2 linked regions of the Astyanax mexicanus genome follow. The protein of the gene in region 1 interacts with the protein of each later gene in a biochemical or structural test. Links are inferred from orthologs where the notes say so. Each region holds a gene or a part of one and is shown in the gene's direction. Other genes may lie near its edges.

Evidence for each region.
Region 2: the proteins of rbbp8 (region 1) and siah2l form a complex in vitro, tested with the Homo sapiens proteins (2 studies listed by BioGRID). The link is inferred for Astyanax mexicanus from reciprocal best matches to the Homo sapiens genes RBBP8 and SIAH2.

The regions. Positions count from the first base shown.
Region 1 is NC_064413.1:973,938-981,055, forward strand, and holds the start of rbbp8 (DNA endonuclease RBBP8), read left to right. Parts: upstream 1-4,097; 5' UTR 4,098-4,186; intron 4,187-5,275; 5' UTR 5,276-5,333; coding exon 5,334-5,433; intron 5,434-5,943; coding exon 5,944-5,986; intron 5,987-6,485; coding exon 6,486-6,581; intron 6,582-7,118. Other genes in the region: N-acetyltransferase ESCO1, read right to left, coding at 1-1,408. UniProt on the Homo sapiens protein: Endonuclease that cooperates with the MRE11-RAD50-NBN (MRN) complex in DNA-end resection, the first step of double-strand break (DSB) repair through the homologous recombination (HR) pathway.
Region 2 is NC_064424.1:17,165,558-17,173,279, reverse strand, and holds the start of siah2l (E3 ubiquitin-protein ligase Siah2), read left to right. Parts: upstream 1-4,706; 5' UTR 4,707-4,937; coding exon 4,938-5,432; intron 5,433-7,722. Other genes in the region: taf9 (transcription initiation factor TFIID subunit 9), read left to right, coding at 1,139-1,220, 2,200-2,310, 2,485-2,651. UniProt on the Homo sapiens protein: E3 ubiquitin-protein ligase that mediates ubiquitination and subsequent proteasomal degradation of target proteins.

The DNA.
Region 1 (7,118 bases):
TAGGTGTTGCAGTTTTTGCTGGTGCATCCGATGCGATATCATCTGCAATTTCCTCACACAGAGCTAAGAGGTTGAGCTGCTTGGGGGGCTGCCTCTTAGCAGCAGCTGCTCTCTCCTCAGCCAGAGCTGCTAATCGGGCCTTGGTTCTGGCCTGAGGATTCATCGCTTGCTTCTTTGGAGGTTCAGCGCTGGCCTGTGCAACAGAACCCGGTGTGGAGGAGTCCTTAGCGCCATCCTGTGGCAGAGATGGAGTCGAGGTGCTCTCTTTGCACACGACAGCTTTGCTGGTTTCTTTTAGAGCTAATGCCTCCTGCAAATCCTGCAACTGCTGCAAGTCCTGCGAAGGCAGCGCATTGCAATTCTCTGATGAGGCACCAAGGTTCCCGCCAACTACTTCCTCCACAGTTTCAATCTCAACCACGCAGTGTTCAATCTCAATATCGTCCAGATTCAGAAAGGTTTCTGAGGTCAGAGATCCTTCGGAAGCAGCAGACAGTTCTGTATCTTGGGCAGTATCCTGTACAGTAGTATCCTGTACAGTAGTATCCTGTACAGTAGTATCCTGTACAGTAGTATCCTGTACAGAAGCATCCTGTACAGAACACGTATTAACCACCTCGACCTCGTCGGACACATCTTTACCATTGAAGCTGGTCTCCTGAATAACTTTAAAAAGGGCTTGCAGAGGTGGCGGGGACTTTCTCATCACACTCACCTTAGCATCTAAAGTTACAGTGATTTTCTCGATAGGATCAGGCGGGAGTTCTTTATGCTCATTAAGCGGTATCTTGCTCAGCGTTTTAGCACCAGAGGCTCGGAGAGGGTCTTGGTCTGTGACGTCGATGATGTCCACCACGCTGTTTTTCTCCGGCATCGTCGTCTCTTCGCTTTGTATATCAGGAGGTCTACCGTAGTTGTGCTCCGTTCGCACAGGATCCACAGCTGCCGACACCGTGCTAACGGTTTCAGACGAGGGAGATGAGCATTTACCTTTCTTTGCTCTTCCAGCGTACTTCCTACTTCCTTTTTTCAGAACAGGCTCACTCTGACACACTTTCTCTCCAGGTATCTCTGAAGCTTTACTCCCACCTTTAGAGCCCAGCTCTTTTGGTGCAGCAGATGCATTCGATGCCTTCCGCTTTTTCCTACCAGTCAGTTTTTTAGGGGCTATCTTCAGCCTGGAGGAGCGACGCGGCTGCTTTTCCTTCTCGTCCTTCAGATGAGCTTTAGACGTCTTGCTGGACTGAGCTGAACCTTTCCTCTGCGAGACTCCAGCCCTCAAGGACCTCTTGGTCGTCGTCTGAGATGTTTGACCGTGTTTATCGGACGCTGCCGGACTCTGATCCACCTTTTTCTTCTTCACTTGAGGTTCAGCTTGAGCTGGCATCTTTCTTTTGGGACCGAGCATACTAAAGAAAAAAGAACACATAAATGGATAAATAATAAATACGAAGTAAACGCTGGTACAAGCAAGTATGTATAAGCATTCATAAAAATGTTAAAGCCTAGACACTGTCTACATGTTTATATAGAGAGCGGGTTTAAAAGGCTTGTGATGAAAGACATAAATAAGTGGAATACAAGTTAAGGTGTTTAAGTACATACAATTAAAAAACATAGCTTTCAACACAGTTTGTAAAGCCTAAAAATAATACAGTCATGTGCCCACAGCTAGAAAAAAACACGAATAAGCTGCTCACTCATTTTATCTGATTTAATTATGAATTTGGTATCAATGTTCCAAAGCAGAACATTTACTAGGAAGAATTACAGTGTAGATATGGGCATCAATTTCAGAGATAAATTTCTACTAGTAAGTATATATCTGTAACTGAAGTATTACTACTAAAAATGTAATTATAGTAAAGAGAAAGGTAAACTAACATAGGTAAGAACTGCATTACAGAGCAGTTAGGTAATCTAGATACTGTTTGAATGGTTGGAGTGATTTAATCTAATTTAATTAGATTAAATAATAGATTAAAGAAGAAACATAGGAAGAATTACAGTGTAGATATATCTGAATCTGCAATTTCTACTAGTAACAGAATAAATGTAGATATATTTAACTGGAGTTTTTACTAGTAAAATGTAATTATAGTTAAGAGAAAGGTAACCTAACGTAGGACTAGTCAGAATTACATCAATGATATGTGATCCTGGTGATTTTATGACTATTTTAAATTTGGGTGAAATGTTGTCCGTCGTTTATACAATGAAAAACTATGTTTATTTCATTCAAATATATACCTATACGTAGTTAAATCAGAGAAACTGATTATTTTGATGTGGTCTAATAATTGTTTTCCAGAGCTGTATATACAGGTGATACAGCTGATAACTGAAATTAAAGTCTCTGCTGGTAAGATCTGCATAACAAAGCTCTGTACTTTGTGTTTTACTGCTAAACTCTTGGGGTGATTTTAGTCTAAATCGGCTAATTTTAGGTATAATATACTGTTTATAAAGGTAAATAGAGGCTTACTTCAGTTGGGAAAGCTGTATTTCCTTTCCTTTATAAAGTGTTTTCCTCCAGTCGGTCTCCTGCCCGAATCAGATGCGGTATTTTCGGTGTTTTTGTTTTTTTTTGGCTGTTTTTTGGGGTGTTTTTGGGTCTGAGGCGGCGGAATGTCGAGGCAGTGAAAATGTAGTTAGCTTAGCTAAGCGGCTAACCCACAAAAACCTCCTGAAACGCGGCTTTTCAGCCCGAACTGCTGCTTATAAATCATACCGGCGGATCTGTATCCCCTCTACACCAGAGTACAGCCCCGCGGAGCGGCGCAGGCGGGCTAAATCTGCGGTAAAGTGCGGTAAAGCTTCTGTAAAACAGCTGTTCTGCGCTGCGATAAGTTTACCTTCTCTTCCGGCGCCCCAGTTTTCTTCGACATCTGTGGCGAGTCAGACTCACCGATACCGCCCCCCAGCGGTGAGAGCGCTCACTGCAGCAGCGGCTCCCCTCCTTCAGCCTCAGTACTTTTCCACTGTTTATTATGTTATAGTATGTTATAGGAAAAATTAAGAGACCACTTCAGTTTCTTACGGATCCTCTGAAATGACATGGTGTTTTTTTACGTTAAAAATGGTAAGCACCCGATACTAAGTGGTGAGCACCACATACTAAGTGGTGAGCACCAGATACTAAAGCCCAATATATACTTTTGAGTCGAACCTACGATGTAGCCTACATATCCCGCAAAACTGTGCTATGTAGCAGAGCGCGTTTATACTTCTGCGTGCGCGTGCAGTTAGAACCGGCGGACCAATCACAGCGACCGTACGTGTAGCACCGCGCATAATTACATTTACAGAGAGTTGCACTCAAGCCATGGCGTGGGGTATGTGGCGACGCAAAGGCTCTGGCAGAGGTTTGACGCAGAAGTAGAAATTGGCCTTAAGTGGTGAGCACAACATACTAAGTAGTGAGCACCAGACACTAAGTGATAAGCACCACATACTAAGTGGTGAGCACCACATACTAAGTAAAACAAAAAATAAATACTAAATATACACATACTAAAAAAAGTTACACCTTGTCCCTTCAGGCCAGGGGCTCCGTAGATTTCTGAATCAGTTTCTCTGATTTTGCAATTTATAGGTTTATGTTTGAGTAAAACAAACATTGTTGTTTTATTCTATAAACTACAGACAACATTTCTCCCAAATAAATAAACATATTCTAGTCATTTAGAGCATTTATTTGCAGAAAATGAGAAATGGCTGAAATAACAAAAAAAATGCAGAGCTTTCAGACCTCAAATAATGCAAAGAAAACAAGTTCATATTCGTAAAGTTTTAAGGCATCATGTTCTCCTCCTCCACCAGTCTTACACACTGCTTTTGGATAACTTTATGCTGCTTTACTCCTGGTGCGAAAATTCAAGCAGTTCAGTTTGGTGGTTTGATGGTTTGTGATCATCCATCTTCCTCTTGATTGTATTCCAGAGGTTTTTAATTTGGTAAAATCAAAGAAACTCATCATTTTTAAGTGCTCTCTTATTTTTTTTTTTCAGAGCTGTATATAAATGTTTTTGTGGGTTTAGTTTATTTTATTGTTCTGATGTTTTTGTACTGGTTTGCCTGCAGGGTGAAGTGTTTCCGTCCGGCCGCTGGGGGCGCTGTTCTGCTGCCGGGTCAGACGGGCTTCAGGTCTGGCGGGCTGTTCGTTTGTGTGTTTGGGAACAGCTGGGTAAGAATTTAACGTTTTCCTGCTGTTTTTAGGATTTATGTGTAAAATTATGTGTGTTTTAGACTCAAGCAGATATAGGTAAGACTCTGTTACGCGTGTTATTTAGGTTAGCCCGCAGGTTCTGTTTAAAAACGTGCGTAAAGTCTGTCTTTTTGTTTGTTTGGGTTGTTGGTTTTAATGCAGTTTCGGATTTATGAATCGTTTTTACGAGATAAACACACACAAACACGTAACTACGTTAGTATTTATTAGTGGAAAACACATAGGGTTTTTAGTGAGCTTCGACTTTCCGAGTTATAGCTAAAATAACTGTGTTTTTAAACTGTCTGTAGCTGTAGTTTTAGACTTTATACAGATAGCTAAGCTAAATAGCTAAGCTTATGTTTGTAAACCTAGTTAAGCTAACTAGCTAAATAACTAGCTCGTTACAGTGGAATTAAAAACAGTTTCCCTTATAAATCATTGGTTGTTTTCAGTTCAGCAATTGTGTTTAAATATATAATATAGCAGAGAAACGCAGTGATATTTGAGAAGTAAAATTAAGTTTATAGGATTTACAGAAAGTCTGCAATTATTATTTAATCTAATCAGACAGGTGAATAAATTTGGGCACCAACAGAAGAAATACATTAATATTTAGTAGATCTTGCTTTTGCAGAAATAAAATAACAGCCTCTAAATGCTTCATAAAGCTTCCAATGAGAGTCTTGTTGAAGCGTCTGGTTGAAGGTATTTTGGACCATTCTTCTTTACAGAGCATTTCTAGTTTAGTCAGGATTTTATTTGCAGGATTTCATCAAAAGAACATGTGTGGAGGTGGTTTGTTGTCAAGGTGGCCGCATATAGGATATGATTAAAAAAAGATGTATTTGGAGCATATTATGTATATTGATTTTTTTTGTTGCATTTTTTTGTATTTACTTTCTATGTTAATGTTGTTTTCAACCAAAATCACCTAATGTAAAGCTCCAAGTTAAAATAAGTATGAACTTAAAACTATAAAATTTAACAGAAACATTATTAATATTCATATCTCACGTTCAGATTTTTTCACACCGGTTAATTTAACTGCTATTTCTGTCTCAACAGAGAGTGTGCATGTTGGCTGTTCGGCATGTGATGAGGTAGCTTGGTGGACTAAACGACAATGACCAGTCCTCAGTTCAGTGGCACCTCTGGCAATAATGAAGAGCTCTTTCAGGATCTACTGAGCCGCCTCAGGGAGTGCCATGATACTGTAGTACAAGGTACTGTCTCTGGAGAGCTTGCACAACAATTTACATTTTAATAGCGTTAATACTACAGTAATGCTGGGCAGCAGTGATTATGTTCCTATATTAAACAATAAATGTAAAAACAAATTTCTCAGCAGAAACTGTTCATTTGATTGTTTGTATACAGTTGGTTAAAAGCTAAATGTGTTTTAATTGGTTAATTTGTTTGAACCTAGTAAGTGAGTCAGTGGTAGTACTATACTAAAACTAGCAGCTGCCACTAAAAGCTGAACTTTGCAGCAAATTGTCATGCACCGCAGAGTGCACACAGATTCATGCAATCTGGTCAGTTTGAGGTGTCTGTGAGCTGGTGTATCACTGCGCTACTCGACAATGCTAAATAAATACATATATTTTCCAAATGTAGACATAAAAGCATCTCAGGGTTTTACTAACACACAGCCTGTCAGTGTTACATATGTAAAAAAAATAGCAGTATCTGACACTTCTGGATTTTAAGAGACTCCAAATGTTTTTTTGTAGGTCTGCAGTCAAAGGTGACCAAGCTGAAGAAGGAGCGTTGTCTGTAAGTAGAGTTTTTGGCCCTTTCTTGTTTACTGTGTTTTAAGCTGTTTTAACCCTTTCAGACCTGTTTTAACTACAGTGATGTTTTTTTACTATAAAATCTATATAGCAAATTAATCTATACAGCGAATTAACAAAATTATTTAATAATTGATTTTTATTTTCATTACATTGGAAGTTTGTGTGTATTTTTTTTTTATTTCACATTGACCTTTTTACTTCATAAACCATTCTTAAACAGTAAAATTAAAATTAAACATTAAAAATGTTCTAAATTACATTAGTAAAAATTAGCTCTTACTTTGCCTCAATGGCTTTAGTGCTACTGTTCTTTTTTCAGTACAGAGGGCAGACAGTGTTCAAACTGTGTTAATAGTCTTATGTGTAAAAATAAAGAAAATACAAGATGTCCATTGTAATGAATGCAGGGTCTGAAAGGGTTAAAGCAGTACCTGCAGTGTTCTGTCAGTGATATTTGTGCTGCTTGTTTTCTTTATAAGCGACGCACAAAAACTGGAGGAATTCTACAATAAAAATCAGCAGCTACGAGAGCAGCAGAAAGCCCTGCAGGAATCTATCAGACTCCTCAAAGAGAGGTATTTCTCTTTACTTCTCTAGGATTGAATATTCCCAGATGTAAACTTCATTTATCATGTATTATACTTTATGCATGTAACTTAATTACAGAAAAAGCCTTAAATCAAAATGATTATGCAAATTAGTTCACATGGATTTGTCTAATAATAATAATCTATGAATAAACTATTGTAAAATTTTCATGTCCTGAAGTGTAAAATTAAAACTTCATAAACAACTATTCAGATACTGATTTGAATTATGCTGCACAGTGTCAATTTTATATATTATTTAGTATTTAAAGAGTGCCTGGAAGTGTCTTATTTTATTTATATATTAAAGCATTTATATATTTCGCTTTAATAATATGTAGTGATTAAATAAAGTCTATATATCGTCCTCACCTGATCCGCTATAAATTCATGATTAGAATTTAATAGAATGCAAACTGACCAAAATGCATTTATTTCTTTATTTTTTTTACAGTGAGTAATAAAAAGTAATAAAAATAATAATTCATATTTAATTATGGGAAGATGGACAACATATTCTGCTAT
Region 2 (7,722 bases), on another chromosome or scaffold:
CCTCTCTGTCCAGATATTGTGTACATTACCGTACACAGGGCAGCGGTCTGCACAGATCGGATTGGCAGAGGAGAGCGTTTGGTGATTTTACACCACACATGACTGATCTGTGAGTTTACTGCACCGAAAAGCACTGAAAACAGAAGCCACTGTCAGAATGAAATCCTTCTCTGTAGTTTATCGGTTTGGGACGGCATTTGTGACAACGTCTGGGTCCGGATCCGGATCGCGGTCCGCCTATTAGTGACCTCTGTTTTAAAGCTATCAAGATGAGTAAGTTAAGTACTAAGTTAACGCTCTGTTTACGCTAATTTTAGCAGCTAAATAGCAATTTAGCTTCTTCGTCATTTAATCAGCCACAACATGCCTCCTTTTCAGGTGCTCGTGCATCGCGGTTGTGCTGCCGAGGAAGGCAAGTTCTTCATTGCAGATATTGCATTGCACGCGTTTCACTTTTATTTTCTTGGTGATCCCACACTTTTGAGTTCTGTAGCGGGGTAGCCATGAAACCAGAGCCTGTCTGTATAATGTCCTGAGATGTCGTCCACTACCTACCCCGGTTTCCACTACTGCGCATGTGCGTCCAGGACAGAAAGGCAGTCGCAGCAGTTTGGAGAGAAAAACAAAGAAAAAAAAACAAACGACTAATCGACTATTAAATTAGTCGTCGACTATTTTAATAGTCGACATAATCGTGACTAGTCGACTAATCGTGGCAGCCCTACTCTTGAGTATCATTAGGTCCTGCTGATGCTGTTCTTGAGCTAGTACCAATAACTACAAAACTCGAAGCTACAGTAATAGACTAATGGCCAGTGGAAGAAGTGCCTGTGTTTATGCACATGCTGCGTTTTTCCCACAGTTCATACACAGAGCTTTAAGTGTGTTGTCAATATTGGTGAAGATTTATCTTAACTTCTCAAAAAGTACTTAATTATAATCTAGTGTAGTATACGGGTACTTTATTCTAAATAACTGTTTCTCTGATTTGAACATTTTTACCATTTGTACCGGTATGCAAACTGAACCATATAGAGAGGCGCTGTCTGTGAAATTTCAGTAAGGTTTTAAAAGTACTGTACAGTTTAACTAATTTGATTTGTGGGGTGGTTCTAATCGATTGTCTGTTCTTATGTAGGTGTCCTCATCTGCGGGTAGAATAACAGTACCACGGCTCAGTGTGGGGGCAGTTTCCAGTAGACCAAGCACACCAACACTCGGTGAGTTCTTCTGAGTATTCTCATAATAGTATAGTGCACTGCAGTGTACCGCCTAAGGCAGACTTTCCCTATAACTAATATAGTTTTTAAAGTATTCTTTGTTTTTAAATGCTTCCTCTTGTTTTTATTGTGTAATATAATGCAGTACAGTAATAATAATGAAGTATAATAATTATTGTTGTTTTATCATAATACTTTTATACAAGTCTGTGAGCACATGGCTACATTTTGGTGACTGTAAACCCACTTGCATGTGAACGTGTGCACTAGGGGGCAGTGTCCAAATCGGAATGTACAGAAAATGAGCAAGACTAAGGTCATGTTTTGTTGTAGTGAAATTGAGAAAATTGTATGACAATTGAGAAAAACCCCTTAGTAAAATTCCTGTCTGATCAGGAAATTAAATAATGCTGCTTCTTTAACCTTTATTCCTCAGCTGGTCCCAATAATTGTTAAAGAACTGACCACTCACGGAAGAGCTGGATATACAGCTCTAAAAAAACAGAAGACCACTTAAAAATAAGTTATCCAAAAGCAGTGTGCAAGACTGGTGGTCGGTACCATACCAAGATGCATAAAACTTATTAAAAACCAGGGTTATTCCACCAAATATGGATTTCTGAACTCTCAAAACTTTATGAATATGAACTTGTTTTCTAGGCATGTTCTGAGGTCTGAAATCTCTGCATCTTTTTTGTTATTTCAGCAATTTCTATTTTTTTTGCAAATAAATGCTCTAAATGACAATATTTCTATCTGGAATTAAATTATTTTTCTAGAACTGTACATTTAAATAGAACAATAATGCAAGGTAATATATGGAAAAGAATATTTGTGATTCTCTGTTTTACTCTTTTGTCCTTTTTTGTTTTGGCATAAATTTTAGTAATAAACACAGTTCCCAGAACTTGGGAATTAAGGGATTTGTTTCATGAGCTGAATCCTGAGCATCATTGTGCTTTTTTTTGCTGGTTTTCAGGTACCCCCTCAGTGCAGACAATGGGCAGTAAAGTGGGAACCCCTGTGTCACTGACAGGCCAGCGCTTCACTGTTCAGATCCCCTCCTCACAGGCTGCTTCTGTCAAGACAGGTCAGTGCAATGTTAATAACTGCTGGGTGAAATTTCTTCATCATAGTGTTGGATGATTAATTTTTGTTTTTTGTTTGTGTTGTGGGTAAAAGAAGGGGATATTGGTACTCAATTTCATTAGTTTAGTTTACCTCCTATTAGTAATAACTGTTGTCACACTGGTTATATTTACAGCCACCCCGACTACTCCAGGCACAGTCCAGAATGTCCTCATCAACCCCTCCCTCATCGGCTCCAAGAACATCCTCATTACGACCAACATGGTGTCTCAGAACTCCTCCGGCGAATCGGGCTCTCTGAAAAGAAAGCATGAAGATGACGACGACTATGATGCTTTATGACCCTGTGCATAAGTTGTATCAGTAGTCTTAGATGCTCCTTGCTTGATACGCGTGTAAATATATAATGATAATTTTGCTTTCGATCAGCTCCATCATGTTGTTTTTGATTATACCAGTAACCTTATGACCTTGACCATTGATTGCTGACTTTTTCTACGTAAAAATAAAATGTAGTTGCTAAACCCATTTCTTCTTTCTCTTTGTTTTTGCTTAAATGTCACGATTGTATTAAATGAAATAGCTGTACAACAGGGGGGATATTTAAATCATTTTCTGTTTTAAGAGGTGAATTTTCATGCATTCATTACATTCTCTGTTTTTATGTTTTCTGTTATTCTTGCTTGGTAATGAATGAGTGATCAGCTTTCTGTCAGTGTGGAGTTCATTTAAATTAAAGTGTGTTGTAATCAAAACTAAGCTAAGAACAAACATGGAGGGTTAACCATGTAGCTAAAGCTCAAGCAGAACATCAGGATATCAGGAATTCCCTCACATAAATTATAGCATTAAGTGAGCCAATCATGCTATAGATTTAGTTTCCATTATTTAAAGCCTTAAGTAAAAGAGAACATCTCTAATAAAGGCCTAAACACATGGCTGTCTAGCAGTTAAACAGTTTAAAAATTTGTAATAATACCAGGCTTTTCTTATAAATATATTGATTTTGAATATCCTGTCATGCTGATATTCCTATAAAATATATAACCTGTGATTTCCTTGATTTTAATCAATATTTAACAAAATAGTTGGTTTAAAGGCAAACTTTTTTTGGTGTTTAACTAAAAAGTGTGCAGAACAACTCCTAAACAGAGTTATGTCTGTGTAAAATCCTGTAATATTTTCTGATTCTGTAACTCTAAGCTAGTAAGAAATGCATGGGGAAAGAGTCATATAGGCTCAAAGCACTGTACACGCAATAATTTGTTCTGTTTATGCCATGGTAATAGCATTTAGCTGTGTTGTCATTGGCCATTAGCAAAAAAAACCCAGAATGCTAGGTTACTAAATCTTCAGTTCAGACATGACTGACTATTTTCCTGCTTCAGAATCATGTCCATACTGTCTTTATATACGATGAAAACAACAGCACACCTATTTTACATATATCTGCCTGTTCAGTTTATTACCATTCATTTAGCATTACAAACAGTGTTTCTCTCTGGGCTTCTTTTTGAATGTGGCATTATAGAGGGAAGTCAGTCAGCAGAGGTCATTTACATATATAAGTTAATGATAGCCTGATAAATTAAGAAATCCTATCTGCATCACATTTAATCCACTGATATTTTTTTTAATTTAATCTTAAAGTAGTTTTGAAACCAGTATTTGTACTTAGGTATAAAGCTTCAGTTGATACTTCAGCTTCTACAGAAATATTGTAAACCCTAATCAGGCCCATTGCAACAAGGCAAGCAAACCAATCCTTTGCCTTGAGGCCTGAGCTGGCCTGGGGCTCCAGACAACAACTGTTTGTTAGCTACCTGCCTGGGCGTCCATGCTAGTAACGAACTGGAACAGGGGTCCATTTTGCTTGGAGCCCCCAAATTCCTTACCTATATTATCTATAAGCCTACTATCTGTACCACTAATTTACCTGAGTAATGAATGCCAGTACTTTTAATACTTTTGTTTATATGATCACTCCAAAGGTAAATCTGATAAAGGGATCCGAACTGAACTTCTCTCATTTTATGATCACATTTATTTTACAGCATGAAGCTTCGATGAGGGCAGGCAGTAATTATAACTAGGTTAAATTTGTTTGTGAAAATATGCATTCTTTTTTTTTCTCTGATACGGCATGCGATCAATAATACCAATAATACCGACCGATACACTGGGTGAAACCGATCCGAGATCAGTGGAGAGAGAGAGCGAGCGGCTGTTTGTCACGCTGATCCGCTCCGCTCACTTTCACTCTCTCCGTCACTACAAGCCGCTGCGTGTAAACACACACAGCCGTTACACAAGAGCCTCCATCCGCCTCGCTATTGGCTTAGGCGGCTGTCAATCACAGCGCTGTCAGCCAATGACCTCGCTCCTTTTTCTCAAACAGTGGCGGCCATGTTGTATCCGCGGGTGTGTGTGAGTATGAGTGTGTATGAGTGTGTGACTGAGTGTGTGTGTATGAGTGTGTGTGTGTGTTTGGGTCTGGGAGAAGAGGAGCGTGTGTTGTACTACGAGCTGCCGCCGCCGCTGCCGGTGTGTGTGTGTGTGAGCACCGCTCTCATACCAGCCGAGTCGTGGGTTAAAACTGTCGGTTAACCTTAGTTTGCCCGCTTCGCCATGAGCCGTCCGTCCTCAGCGGGAGGAGCGGGCGGAGGACTGGGAGCCGGTAAGGCGGGAGGAGGGAGTAAACACGGCGGCTCCGGAGCAGCAGGAGGAGGAGGAGCGGCGGCAGCTGCCGCTGCTGCAGCCGCTGCGGCCGCGGCAGCAGCAGCAGCGGCGGCGGCTGCTGCGGGGGTTTCGGGCTCCGTCTCTGGGTCCGGTTCTGTGACTGCTGCGACCGCTGTAACGTTACCTACTGCGGCTGCTGCTGCTGCCGCCGCTGCTGCTGCTGCTCTACCCGGACAGTCGGCCGAGCTGACGGCGCTGTTCGAGTGCCCAGTGTGCTTCGACTACGTGCTGCCGCCGATCCTGCAGTGCCAGGCCGGCCACCTGGTCTGCAACCAATGTCGACAGAAGCTGAGCTGCTGCCCGACCTGCCGCGGGCCTCTCACACCCAGCATACGGAACCTGGCGATGGAGAAAGTCGCCTCCACGCTGCCCTTCCCCTGCAAGGTAAGAGAGAGAGGAGCTCCTGACAGCCCGTTAGAGAGCTTTACCAAGCCTGAGAAACTTCAGCACAGTTTCAGACTGACACGCAGTGCTGTGACACTACTGTACTTTTCACACCACTTTTTGTATAACGTTACTTTATTTCCTATCTATCTACCTCACCAGCTACCTCACTTTTTTGGCTTGGTTTGACAGCGCCCTCACGACTCACAGGAGGAGTGAGTGTTTGAGGAAGTGAGTCTCCATTAGCTCAAGTTTACAACGCTACAGGTGTTTAGAAACGGGAAAGCCTCGGTTCTGCACCCTCTCCTGCTGTTTTAAGGGATGTAAAGGCTCATTTCATGGAAATAAATAAGAACAGAAGTCTCCAAACATTGTTTAGCTATAACAAAATGTCATAATGTACCATTATCCCCCCTCTTCCCAATAAACCTGGACATGCAGCAGCAGAGCAGCCTGTTTATAAATGTGACAAGTTTAAAACGGCAATTTGATTATTTCTTCATCATATCTTTTATGTCGTTGAAGTGAAAGCTTGTTTATTTCCATAATAAATGCTGACACATTTGTAAGGAACATTCATTTGTGGGATGAGCAACAGAGCTGAGTATGTAGCTTGTGCCCATGAAATATCTGCCAAATCTTCTCTGTCATTGCCAAACAGCTTATTTTTACTGTTGCTATTGACTCTTGTTTTGAGCTTCTGATACCACAGGTTTTGATGAACAACTTCAGCATAGTTACAGACACACAGCGCTGACACTACTTTACTAACCACTTTAATTGTGGACCCAAAGCAGCATAGCAGCCTGTTTTGAAATGCGCAACAAGTAAGAACATTTGTGTCTGGTAGATTATTTCTTTGTAGTAACAATGATTCTTTGCAATAAATCGTATATTGTTAAAAAGCCTGTTAATTACCCTATTAAATGTTGCCACATTTGGAAGGAAAATCTTCTCTGTCAGTGCCAAACATCTTATTTTGCTGTGGCTATTGACAATAGTTTTGAGCTTCTGGTACCCCCAGGTGCTTCCAATCAAGCATGGGCCCTGCTACAGTGGTTAATTGGTGTCTGCTCCAAGAAACAGCATGCCTTGTTTGACTGATCTGTATAGGGCTCATGCGATAGAACAACTTCATGCTGGTGTTCCTCAAAACCAAGTTGTGACATTATTTGAAGTGAGCCATAGTACCAGTTCTCTGACACCATGTGGGTGTCAGAGAAAGGCCTCAAAGGGGCTTTCCAAGAAGACAACACCCCAAGAAGACGAGTCAATGACAGAATAAGCTGATTGGCATTGGCAGAGAGGATATGGCAAAGTTCTCATGGGTGCAAGCCATATTCAACATACTCAGCTCTGCTACTTATTCCACAATTGCATTTTCCTTAAAAATGTGGCACAAATTAAAAGTAAAATTATCAGTCTTTCCAGCGGTATAAGATTTTTTGCCAAGAAGCATTGTTACAACTTAGAAATAATCTACTAACCACAAATGTCCTTACGTTTTGTGCTATTTCTAGTACATGGCAATTATATTCAAATCTGTCAGAAATTGGACTAATACTCTGCATAAAATTGTAAGCATTGCTCAACATCCCCAAGTAAAACTAATCCCATCTGATTAGAGCTTTTGGCTGACTTGTTAAATTGTAGTATTTCTTTTACCAGCAAGTGTTCTTGAAGCATATTGCTAGATGTATGCTGCATTATGTTCACCTACTTGGAAATATCCTGCAAAATGTACCAAGGGTCCTAAGATTTAAGCTGTCACAGTTTGGTAAAACATACATCGGAACAGGAACCTTGCCGACCGGAAGCAGACATGAAGGGAGGGCATGACTAAAGTAAATGTTGACTAATCAACTAGTAAAAATAATTAATAGACAGATTAGTTGCATCCCTAATAGTGTTATAAACTTGGCTGCCTTTTAAAATGAGGAAAGCCTATGAACAGAGGTAATAGACACATCTCTTACAGTTGTTTCTGATACATAAACACAACATCATAAGTGAATTTCATGGCTGAAACTAAATAAAATCCAAGAATCACATCAGATAATGGCACCTTAAACAGATGATAACATTAGAACTTACTCAGCATGTTGTAAGATGACCTTAGGAAGAAAATGAGCCAACACTCATTACCCGTTGTCCTTACAAACTTACCATCAACGTTTAAGCCAATTAAAGCCTTTGGTTACAGATTCAGGATCAGTACGTCAGCGCGCTCTTTCAAAGCTAATTGTTACAAAGCATATATTATGTACATTGAGGTTGACTGAGTGGATGA